3 linked regions of the Cricetulus griseus genome follow. The main gene of each other region encodes a partner of the protein of the gene in region 2 in a complex. Links are inferred from orthologs where the notes say so. Each region holds a gene or a part of one and is shown on either strand. Other genes may lie near its edges.

Region 1 (3,651 bases), on a different chromosome or scaffold from region 2:
ATATTGTGCTTACATGCAAGCAACTTTACTCCTGAGCTACCCTGTCTACTCCTTCATGTTTTTATACTCATCCTTCCCTGTCATATACCTTTTCCCTGTCTCCTTATAAATATAAATGTGAGCCTGCAAAACTTTGGATGTAGTAACAAAAATAGTAGCATGTACTTTGTCTGGGAGTCTTGCTGTTCACTCCGACTACCCTGGTACTCTCTGTGTGTGGCCCAGGCTGACCTTAGACTCAAGGTAGTCTTTCTCCCTCAGCCTCTGGATGTTGGAATTAAGGTATGCACCACTGCACCCAGTTTAAATGGTGGGATTCACTCTGAAGTTCATTTAATCTTAATTTAAATTTTGAGCAACATAATGGAGTAAGCAGGTTATGTTCATTCTACCCACGCACTGTGTCTGAAGTAAGCAGGTTATGGTCATCCCACCCACCCACTGTGTCTGAAGTGTGCACTTCCCCTGATGTGTGTACGCCTCCCTGTATTTTCCTACTCTGACCATCACCACCTTGCCAGTGCCCTGAGCGTTTAAAGTGACTTTCTACATCATCCACTTTCTCAGCTACATTGCAGTCAACCATGCTCTCTAATCCTCTTTCCCTTCTGCACTGTGAAGAGTTGCCTCAGCTGCACTAGCTACTCTTGCAGATGGGACACAGGTTCTGTTCCTAGCAAGTACTTGGTACTCAACACCATCTGTAAGTCCAGTTCCTAGGGATCCAACCCCCTCTTTCTGGCCTTCACAAGCACCAGGAGCATACATGGTGCATATACATACATGCAGGCAAAATGCATAAACATACTAAATAAATCCAAACTTCACTTTTCTCCACTGCTCTAGGGCCAAGCATGGTTTAACTCTGCCTTTTTTCTCATCCATATATTGAGTCACTCCTCTTATACTTTGTCAAGATTTTAAGCTCATACCTTTTCCTTTCAGGGAGGAAGGAAAGGAAGATTTTGACACTAGTATTGAGAGCAAAGAAACAGAGCAGAAAGATCTGGACCCTGATATGGTCACTGAGGATGAAGATGACCCAGGATCACAGAGAAGGAGCAGAAGAGGTATCATATCTGTTGGGTCATTTACGGCAGGGTTGTTTGTTTCTTGGCTATGTCTTGATTGAGCTATATTCAGGCCAGCATTAAACTCACTATGTTGCCAGAACTGACTTTGAACTCCTGACTCTCCTGCCTCTATCTCTCAGTGATGGGATTATAGGTATATGTTCCATGTCTATCTGTGGTGGTGTCTTACACATAGCCTTATAGCTCATGAGTTGTAAAAACCTGACCAATTTGTTATAAATGATGTTGTGGGGCCTCACTATGTAGTATATAGCCCAGACTTGTCTGGAACTTTCTTTTTCTTTTTTCTCAAGACAAGGTTTTTCTGTGTAGTCCTGGCTGTCCTGGAACTTGCTCTGTACACCTGGCTGGCCTCAAACTCAGATTCATCTGCCTTTGTCTCCCAAGTTGCTGTTACCACATCCTGGCATGTCTCGTATTTCTTTAATGAAAAATTAAAATATAATGAGGCTGAGTATGATGGCAGAGGCCTTAAAGAGCCAGGTCTATATGATGGGGCCCTGGCTCAACAATAACAGCAACAAAACCCAAAGAAACAAAATATAAATGGAATGTAATGATACATTTCTTTCAACACAGGAAAAGCTGGACAAAGTGGAGTCAAGCAGTGTATAAAGCAGGAGGAGATAAACTGCTGCATAAAGCAGGAGCCTCTTGCTGCTGATACAGAGGAAGCTTTGAGGCAGGAACATCAGCGGAAAGAGAAAGAACTCCTAGACAAGATCCAGAGTGCCATCGCCTGTACCAACATCTTCCCTTTGGGGCGAGACCGCATGTACAGGCGATACTGGATTTTCCCTTCTATTCCTGGCTTGTTTATAGAAGAGGATTTTTCAGGTCTCACTGAAGACATGCTGTTGCCTAGACCTTCATCATTTCATGATAATGCACAGTCTCACAACGCTCAGGTATCTGTTAAAACTGAAGAGTCATTCATGTCTGAATCTACCTCCAGTCTTGACCAAGGTCCATTTGACGATTCTATACTGCTGCCAAAACCGGTGCATAAGCCAAATCGGTGGTGCTTCTACAGTTCTGAAGACCAACTGGACCAGCTGATCGAAGCTCTCAACTCCAGAGGACACAGAGAAAGTGCCTTAAAAGACACCCTGCTGCAGGAGAAGAGCAGGATATGTGCTCAGCTGGCCCACTTTTCTGAAGAAAAATTTCACTTTTCAGGTAAATTTTTGTTTGTTTTGATTTTTGAGTCAGGGTCTCTACATATCGCAGGCTGTCCTGGAACACACTGTAGAACAGGATGACCTTCAAACCATGGAGATAGATCCACCTGACTTTCAGGTAAAGTTTCACTGAAAAGTATTGTGTTTTTTGTTTTTTGTTTTTTTCTTTTCCTATAATCCTAATCATTGAGGATTAAACCTATTTCAATCTGTTACACAGACGTAAAAATATGTTAATGTGGGCATATATTTCTTCATACAGACTAAGGTTCACAAAATGTCTTTATGTTGTTTGGATCATGAGTAACCATCTAGAGTATGAACAGGTCTCAGTAGACTGACTGCTTGTATTATTCAGCTTTGCATTGCTGTGACAAAATAACCTGCACTCCTGGGTTTGGCAGGAGTGACCAAGTATCACAGTGGTAGCTTGGAAACAGAAAACTGCAGTAGCTCACTTCCTTCTCTTTCCACCTTTATTGCTCTGGGCCTCCAGTCTATTTGGGTGGTGCCACCCCATTCAAGGTGGTTCTTTGACCTTCTGCTTCTGGCTACTGTCATATATGTTACTGGTCTAGAAACACCAAAGTGTACTTTACTGATTTCCCACAGATAGCCCAAGACTCTAAGTTTTGAAGATGCTATAGTAAATGGGATTAATTCCAGCCAGATTCATACATTAGTGGTTTCTGGAGGCAGAGTGGCTGCCAGGGCAGATCAGGGAGCAGTACTTCTTGTGGGAGGCTGACTCACTGATGGTAGATTAGAAAAGGAAAACCTCCCTTGATGAGAGTTTGGAGAACTGCTTACATTTGGGGCATGTTAACTATGTCATACTTTATGGTTTTTTTTTTCTTTTTATTTATTCTTTTCTCATATGTTACATTCGGACTGCAGTTTCCCTCCCTCCACTCCTCCCAGTTTAATTCCCCACACACTTTTCCTCTCCCCCATATACACTTCTCTTCAGAAAAGAGTAGGCCTCCTGGAGATATCTAACAACATGCAATAAAACCTCATAGCAAAAAGCCTCATAGCAAAGCAACCCACTAGGAACAAAAGGGTCAGAGACCCCACTGTTACCCAGGCTAAAGGACCACAGCATATATACAGAGGACCTAGCACATTCCCATGCAAGCTCTGCGATTGTCACTTCAGTCTCTGTAAGCCCTTATGAGCCCTGCTTTTGTGTGGGTCATGCTCTCCTGGTTCCCCCACCCCTCTGACTCCAATAATCCTTGCTTCCCCTCTTCCAAAGGATTCCCCGAACTCCACATGATGTTTGGCTGTGGATCTCTGCATCTACTCCCGTCAGCTGCCAGAGGAAGCCTCTCTGATGATTGAGCTAGGCACTGATCTATAAGTATCGCAGAATA
Region 2 (3,751 bases):
TGAATGCTCACTCACCTGCTGGTGAGCCAAGGAGATGCAGATTGAGTGTGTGTGTGTGTGTGTGTGTGTGTGTGTGAGAGAGAGAGAGAGAGAGAGAGAGAGAGAGAGAGAGAGAGGTTCTTTCTGAAAGTACACTGTTATGAGTCACCATTTTAAACAAGAATGTTCTTTATTTGTAAAAAGCATTAAAATCTTCTCAACAGTCTCATCACTTTCAATAAACTCTTCATTGTATTCACTCAACTAGCTAACAGTATCCAACTATATTACATTACTTTTCAACCTCAAGTGCTCAACTAAGACCAAAAAAAAAAAAAAAAAAAAAAAAAAAAAAAAGGGTGCTTGGAGCACTAAATGGGGAGAAAGGAAAGGCCAACAGACACTTCAAAAGCCACAGCAGTGGTGGCTGTGCTGCTAGATTCCTGAGCACCGTTACATTTACCTTAAGGTTCAGAGGCGTTTCAGGAGAGTAGGACTAAGGAATCTGAGGAACTGGCACTGTGCGACACTACATGGGTTACCAAAGTTCCTAGACTGGAAGATGAATTAAGAAAAGGAGAAAGAGGGGCTGGGAAGCAGAGGCAGGAGATGGAGAGGGAAAAGGCTATGCCTAGAGGAAATAACATCTGGAACTTGTCAAGAGTTCAAGGAATGAAAAGCAGCAGCTGCAAGTCAGGGAGATGGACTAAGCAAGAGAAAACCTGGGATTTTATACCTTCCAGGAGGTAGCACTAAATCCTACAGTGGCAGGCACTGAGTTACCCTAAGATTAAGTCACCTGTTTTTAAGAATTGACACCCTTTTTGGACAGAATTTAATCAACACTGAGAATTTAAGAGTGTATGTGTAGGAGTGCAGCCACCCCAGAAGACTGAACATCTATAGTCAACAAAGAAGGGCTACAGGCTAATTAAGTCTAGAAAACAAAACAAACAAGTAATGCTACCATCCAGTGAAGAGATTACCTTATTCTCTCACAGCCTTTTAGTCATTTCCTAAAGCGCAACCATTCTGACCATTAATACCTATTGCCAGATACTGTACAATCAAACAGGGTGACCATGATCAAAGCCCCATTTCCTCCCCCTGAGCCTTGAGTGCTTCTGTGATCCAGAACACAGCAGGCAAGCAACATGGAAGTTATTACTTTTTTGGAGGGTCAGGGAAATGGGATCAAAAACTAGCTAGCCACATACTTAAGTAAACAAATGACATCAAACTATTTAGTCAGTCAGAATCCCTTATACTAAAAAGTCACAACCTCCAGACTGATTCAGCAAAACAGGTTTCTGTTACTCTGATGCCCTCAGCCTGGCAAGAGCTGGTTTTGATCATTCTGGTCAGTTTTTATTCTGATCTTAGGCACCTGTGCCGAAGATGGCTCTGCCTTGCAGGGAAAGGCTTCGCATAAAAACATCTCAGGGAGGTTGGTCACTCCCATGGTGCCGCAGAGTGCCCATTCTCTCGACTCAGTTGTCTACTTCCTCCTCTTCATTCTGCTCTTCCTCTTCTAGTCTTTCTTCATCTTCATCATCTTCCTCCCTGCTCTTGTCCTGCTCTTCGGAATCTGTCTTTTTGTCTTTGTCCTTCTTCTTTTGCTCGGAAGCTTCCTTCTTGCCTTTCTGCTCCCGCCTGTAAGCTGTAAAGAAGGAGATTATTGTTTAATTAGACAAACTGAGCCACAGGAAGAACAACCAGGCCCACATCATGTATCTGAGATGGTACCAACTAAACAGAGCTGAATCATGACCAATATTGGATTACTAAGATCAGGTGATCAGGGAACGAAGGATGACCAGCTTCCGTGTGGCTTAAGAAACTGAAGAGCGAGTGAATACCTTCTAGGGCTTCTTTCAATGGTGAAATGAACCGCTGGAACTCCATCTCTTCCATGGCTGACAGCACATCACTGGCATTCAGAGTCTTTCGCTTCCCTTTCATTGCGAAGTTGTTCGCACTGGAAGAAAAAGCAAAGCCCTTCAGGAGCTGTCAGAGTGGGTGGGGAAAAGAGACACCAAAGAGGCGGGGTGGGAAAACCCACATCTATCTTAGAGTCATAGGTTTTTGTAACACGACTCAGTCCATTCCTTCTCCGTACAAAGGGATACGGCAACCTTCTTGTTTCACCTGCTTCAGAATTTGCGAGGACTGGAGGGGAGCTGTGAGTCGCTCTATCTACTGAGTCGGGGAACAATTAATGGGGCCATGAACTCGGGGTCAGGATCTCGCAGGGCCTCCCTCCCTGCTCGGCTCACCAGGATGTGGCATACAGAACGAAGACGCTGGCGGCGCGGGAGATGGCGCTCCGGGCCTCCTTGGAGATGTTGACGCCGTCCGGGAGCTGCGAGAGTGGAGATAAACACACACGCGGATCTAGTTAACCTTCTGCCCACTCGTCCGCCCTCGACCCATTCGCCAGCCCGAGCAGCTCACCGCTTCCTTGATGATCCTAGTAATGACGGCGTTGGGCAGATTTAGGTCCTCGGGCCTCTCCGCCATTGCCTCCGCTGGAGCCCGAGCCTTCTCCGCCTCAGGCCTCCTCTTCAGACAGTTCTGGTGTCTGGACTTCCCGCGTCGCTAAGATCTGACCCTCGGAGGCTTCCTTCCCACCCCACGTTGCCGGGTGTCCCACAGTGCTTTGCGCACCACAGCTTCCCTTCTGCACAAGACCCCGCCTCAAGTCGCCGGCGTAGCCAAGTTTTCCAAGTCGCAATGGTTTCGGCTCACTGAGGTTTCCGTTAGCCTCCACGGTATCCTCGACATTCCTCTCCAGGCTCGTTTCTTTACCACGCACTGTCAGTATCGCTGGAGCTTTCCTTCGAAACTAAATTTGGCTCTCTGAGGTTTCCGTCTATTCTCCCATCGTGCCCTGCGCCGCTGCTAGGCAACGGGGGGGCATGGTGCCTAGCATGGAAGGTGAAGGCATAGACTGAGCCTGTGGGACCACACTCCGACGGCCGAGATGGGCGTGGCCTCGCCGGAGGAGGTGGGCGTGACCCTTGGGCTAGGTGGGCGTGACCCCTTGGGCTAGGTGGGCGTGACCCCTTGGGCAAAGGTGGGCGTGGCCAAAGCCTCGGAGCATTTTCTCTCTCTCTGCATTGTCCCTAGAGGTGCAGAACAGAGCACTATTTGGAATCTGCTTGTATCCCGCGGAATCTCGGACTGACACTTGAATCCTTCACTTTTTTTTTTTTTTTTCTTTTTGGCTCGGAACTCAGTGGAGATTTTCTTCCAGTTTTGCTGCATGTAAATTTACCGATGTCCATCTTTAATCTTATTCCCCTCACAACTTGAGATAATCGTATTAAAGATAAACTTTATCTAAATCTTTTTTTTTAATGCCAACTATTTTATTAGGACAGCTGCAATGCTGCCGATATCGAGAGACGCCTGATGAAACTTCGGGGCTCAGTTTGGAATGCTCCGGTACTGAAAGGGCGAGAAGCATCGGATTGTAAGAATGCATCATATTCTCGTTCTCATTAAAAAAAAAACAACCCATGTTAAAGTTGTATTTTTTAATTCATTAAGTGATTCTTCGTACATATTCCCCATTAAAGTCATTACAGGATTTTACATTTTCAATAGTGTTTTAAGGTATATAATTTTCATATCAAGTACAGAAAAAATTCTTCATGAGAAACTAATGTTTTCTCTCGCCCCCCCCTCTGTGAGTGTGTGTGTGTGTGTATGTGTGTCTTCCTCTCTTTTTTCTTACAACATGTTCCAAGACTTGTTTTCCTACTTTTCA
Region 3 (3,651 bases), on a different chromosome or scaffold from region 2:
CACTCAGGAGCATCCGACACCCCTGGTGTCTATGAGCACCTGCACACAAATGCACATAGCCACACAGACACATACATATAATTATCTTTTTTAAAAAAACAACTTTTTAAAAAAGATTTTATTTATTATGTATACAACATTCTGCTTCCATGTATATCTGCACAGCAGAAGAGGGCACCAGGTCTCATAACGGATGGTTGTGAGCCACCATGTGGTTGCTGGGAACTGAACTCAGGACCTCTGGAAGAGCAGTCAGTGCTCTTAACCTCTGAGCCATCTCTCCAGCCCCATAATTATCTTTTTTTAAGAAAGAAAAAAGTAATGAAGCAATATCAAAACCAAGTTTTGATCCTAACTAAAAGGTATAAATAATATTTTTTAAAAAAAGAGAAAGAGAGAATGGTGCTAGAGGAGGTTGCTCATACAGTTCAAGATCAGAGTGGGAAAACCCATTGGTAAGGTGTTTTTTAAAATAGCATCAACTAAGAAAATGTCCAAAGATGTAGCAACTAAAGAGAATATCCAATGAGGAAATAGCCTCATTGGATATTTAAATGTAATACACAGAGGAGCTGGAGAGATGGCACAGCTGTTAGGAGCACTGACTCTCATGCAGAGAAACTGGGTTCAATTCCCAGCAACCACAAGGCAGCTCACAATCATCATAACTCCAGTTCTAGGGAATCCAATGCCCTCTTTGGACATTCTCAGTCACCAGGCACACACACAGTACACACGCATACATAGAAGCAAAACATTTATACACATAAATCTAAAACAAGAAAAAGACTGAAAATCAGAAGACTGTGAAAATCAGACCACAAATTTTATGTAATGATGCCAGTGAGTTAACCTTTGAAAATCAGAAGACTGTGAAAATCAGACCACAAATTTTATGTAATGATGCCAGTGAGTTAACCTTGGAGAATGCTGATCCCTAGAGAGTGATTTGCAACCAGGGATTATTGTCCCTCAATAGACATTCAGCAAACATCTAGGGGTACTTATGATTGTCACAAGTGAAAGATGTAACCAGCATCGGGAGATACAAGTATACTGCTGAGCTTCCCACAGTGTACATGAAAGCCTCCTACAACCAAGAATTACTTGGTCCAAGATGCAAAAGTGCCAAGGTTGATGATAAGCCCTGTGTAGAGAAAGCCACACAAATGTACATTTGACAAAAGTAACCAATCCAGGTCATAATGCTTCTAGATGTGACCCAGATGAAACAAAAAATATTAAGATTTAAAATTCATAAGAATCAGTTGCCAGGCAGTGGTGGTACATGCCTTTAATCCTAGTACTGGGGAGGCACAGGCAGGTAGATCTCTGTGAGTTCAAGACCAGCCTAGTCTACAGAGTGAGTTCCAAGACACCCAGGGCTATTACACAGGGAAACCCTGTATGAAAAAAACAAAACAACGAAAAAAACTACAATACTTTATAGTTACATCACATACTGAGCATTTAAGAATCTTCTATGTATACCAAATTATATCAGTGTTTGACTATATATTTTGTCATGATGATTTTACTCTCTATATAAATTCATAGAATTGTGCTATAGGGTACAAAGAGGCTCAGTGGGTAAGGTACTTGCTGCTGAGTCTGACAACCTTGTTCCATTTTTGGGATCCACATGGTGGAAGGAGAGAACTGACTCTCACCATGGCATACACCCTGACACGCACGCGCACGCGCGTGTGCGCACACACACACACACACACACACACACACACACACACACACAGAGAGAGAGAGAGAGAAGTAATTTTTAAAATTAGAGAAAAGACAGAGAAATGTGCTGTACTCTAGAGCATCCACGGCATCCTTACAGGGTTTATGCAGAGGCACTCAGTGTTTGTCACGGTGAAAGGATCATACTTGTCTGCAATGACCAGCAGATCAGGCACAGGGTACACTCTCAAAGTGTAATCATACGTCCAGTGGACGGGGCACACATAGAGAGGCAGAGGAGTCAGATGTCCCTGAGATAAGACAGTCTTCACAAACTGCAGCAACACAAACAAAGCAAAACAGTTCATCAGTGAAAACAAGAATAGTAGTTTTAAATCAAGTATTGATTTCTGCGAAGACCTAGGATATTTACAAAATAAGGGATCCCTGAATCACAGAACACCAATGAACACTGCTCTTAGAATGAAATTATCACATAACCTAGGGGAAAACAATTTAAGTTTTCACTGAACACCATTTATCATAAAACCAACCCTCCCTTTAGTCATTTTGAATTAACCATACACATAATAAAGTTATTTCCTAATTCAGCTCATAAAGGACAAAAAAGGGGTGTGGTGATCTGTACTCCCACTCATTAGGAGGCTGAGTATTGCCATGAATTTGAGGCCAGCCTGTTCTACAACTGGAGACCTTGTCTCAAAAAAAATATAAGACCCATCTCTTAAAAAAAAAAAAAAAAGAAAAAGAAAAATCAGGGGCTGGAGAGATGGCTCAGTGGTTAACAGCAAACACATGGTGGCTCACAACCATCTATAATGAGATCTGATGCCCTCTTTGGTCAGGCAGACATACATGCAGGCAGACCACTGTATCTATAATAAATAAATAAATAAATAAATCTTAAAAAAAAAGTCCTGCTAATGTATAAGCCAAGAAAACATTTATTAAAAAGAAAAATCACAACTATAACAATTTTGCAGGTAGAATTGCTTAGTGGATACAAGGCTTGCCACCCACAATGCAAGCCTAGTGACCTGAGTTGAGTCCCCTGCCCATGGAAAGGCGGAAAGAGAACTGATGTCACAACGCTGCTCTCTGGGCTCCACACGAATGCCACGCATGGCATGTGCATACTCTTCTCCCCTACACCATATACACACAAAAGTACAAAGCAAAATGACATCCTCATAGTGGAAGGCATGGGTCAGCAGCTAGTCACCCTGCGATACACAGTAAGACTCTATCTTTAAAAAGCAAAAATAAATAAACAAATAAGCAGACCTTTTTATAACAAAGAATAAAAGTGATTTACTTCCATATCTCTCAATGACAGCTGTATATTTGGGAACTTTGAATTTATAAGATTACCACTGCATGTACTCCTGGTAGTGGACACACCATATGAAATATGTAATAAACATAAGAAATAAGAACATCTAATAAAAATAATACACATACTATGAAGTAAACCTAAGGGTTTCTTTTGGGGGGGACGGGGGTAGTTGAGACAGGGTTTCTCTGTGTAATGGACCTGATTGTCCTGGCTGTCCTGGAACTCACTCTGTAGACCAGGCTGGCCTTGAACTCACAGATCCTCCTGCCTCTGCCTTCTTAGTGCTGAAGAGATGGCTCAGTGGTTAAGCAATCATGAAGACCCAAGTTCACATCCCAGCACCCATGTCAGACTGCTTGCTAATACCTGTAATGCAGTTCCAAGGGACCCAATGCCCTCTTCTGGCTCTCACGGGCACTGGCACATATATGTGCATATTATACTCTCAAAGATACACACACATAAATGACAAAATTTAAAAATAAATCTTTTAAAACAGCCAAGGACTGGAGTACTGACTCAATGGCTAAGAGCACTGTGGCTCTTGCACAGGACCAGGGTTTGATTTCCAGCACCCACATAGAGGCTCACAATCCTCTGTAACTCCACACCCA

Evidence for each region. Proteins that work in one complex are often made in the same cells at the same time.
Region 1: Pole3 (region 2) and Baz1a share a complex: the UniProt entries of both Homo sapiens proteins name them as parts of the CHRAC ISWI chromatin remodeling complex. The link is inferred for Cricetulus griseus from reciprocal best matches to the Homo sapiens genes POLE3 and BAZ1A.
Region 3: Pole3 (region 2) and Pole2 share a complex: the UniProt entries of both Homo sapiens proteins name them as parts of the DNA polymerase epsilon complex. The link is inferred for Cricetulus griseus from reciprocal best matches to the Homo sapiens genes POLE3 and POLE2.

What each region holds. Positions count from the first base shown.
Region 1 is NC_048598.1:147,382,657-147,386,307, forward strand, and holds part of Baz1a (bromodomain adjacent to zinc finger domain protein 1A), read left to right. Parts: intron 1-945; coding exon 946-1,070; intron 1,071-1,673; coding exon 1,674-2,273; intron 2,274-3,651. UniProt on the Homo sapiens protein: Regulatory subunit of the ATP-dependent ACF-1 and ACF-5 ISWI chromatin remodeling complexes, which form ordered nucleosome arrays on chromatin and slide edge- and center-positioned histone octamers away from their original location on the DNA template to facilitate access to DNA during DNA-templated processes such as DNA replication, transcription, and repair.
Region 2 is NC_048595.1:83,345,264-83,349,014, reverse strand, and holds Pole3 (DNA polymerase epsilon subunit 3), read right to left. Parts: upstream 2,650-3,751; 5' UTR 2,500-2,649; coding exon 2,434-2,499; intron 2,342-2,433; coding exon 2,256-2,341; intron 1,958-2,255; coding exon 1,839-1,957; intron 1,640-1,838; coding exon 1,470-1,639; 3' UTR 147-1,469; downstream 1-146. Other genes in the region: CUNH9orf43 (uncharacterized protein C9orf43 homolog), read left to right, coding at 2,963-2,986, 3,358-3,454. UniProt on the Homo sapiens protein: Accessory component of the DNA polymerase epsilon complex. Participates in DNA repair and in chromosomal DNA replication.
Region 3 is NC_048598.1:134,165,650-134,169,300, reverse strand, and holds part of Pole2 (DNA polymerase epsilon subunit 2), read right to left. Parts: intron 2,016-3,651; coding exon 1,839-2,015; intron 1-1,838. UniProt on the Homo sapiens protein: Accessory component of the DNA polymerase epsilon complex. Participates in DNA repair and in chromosomal DNA replication.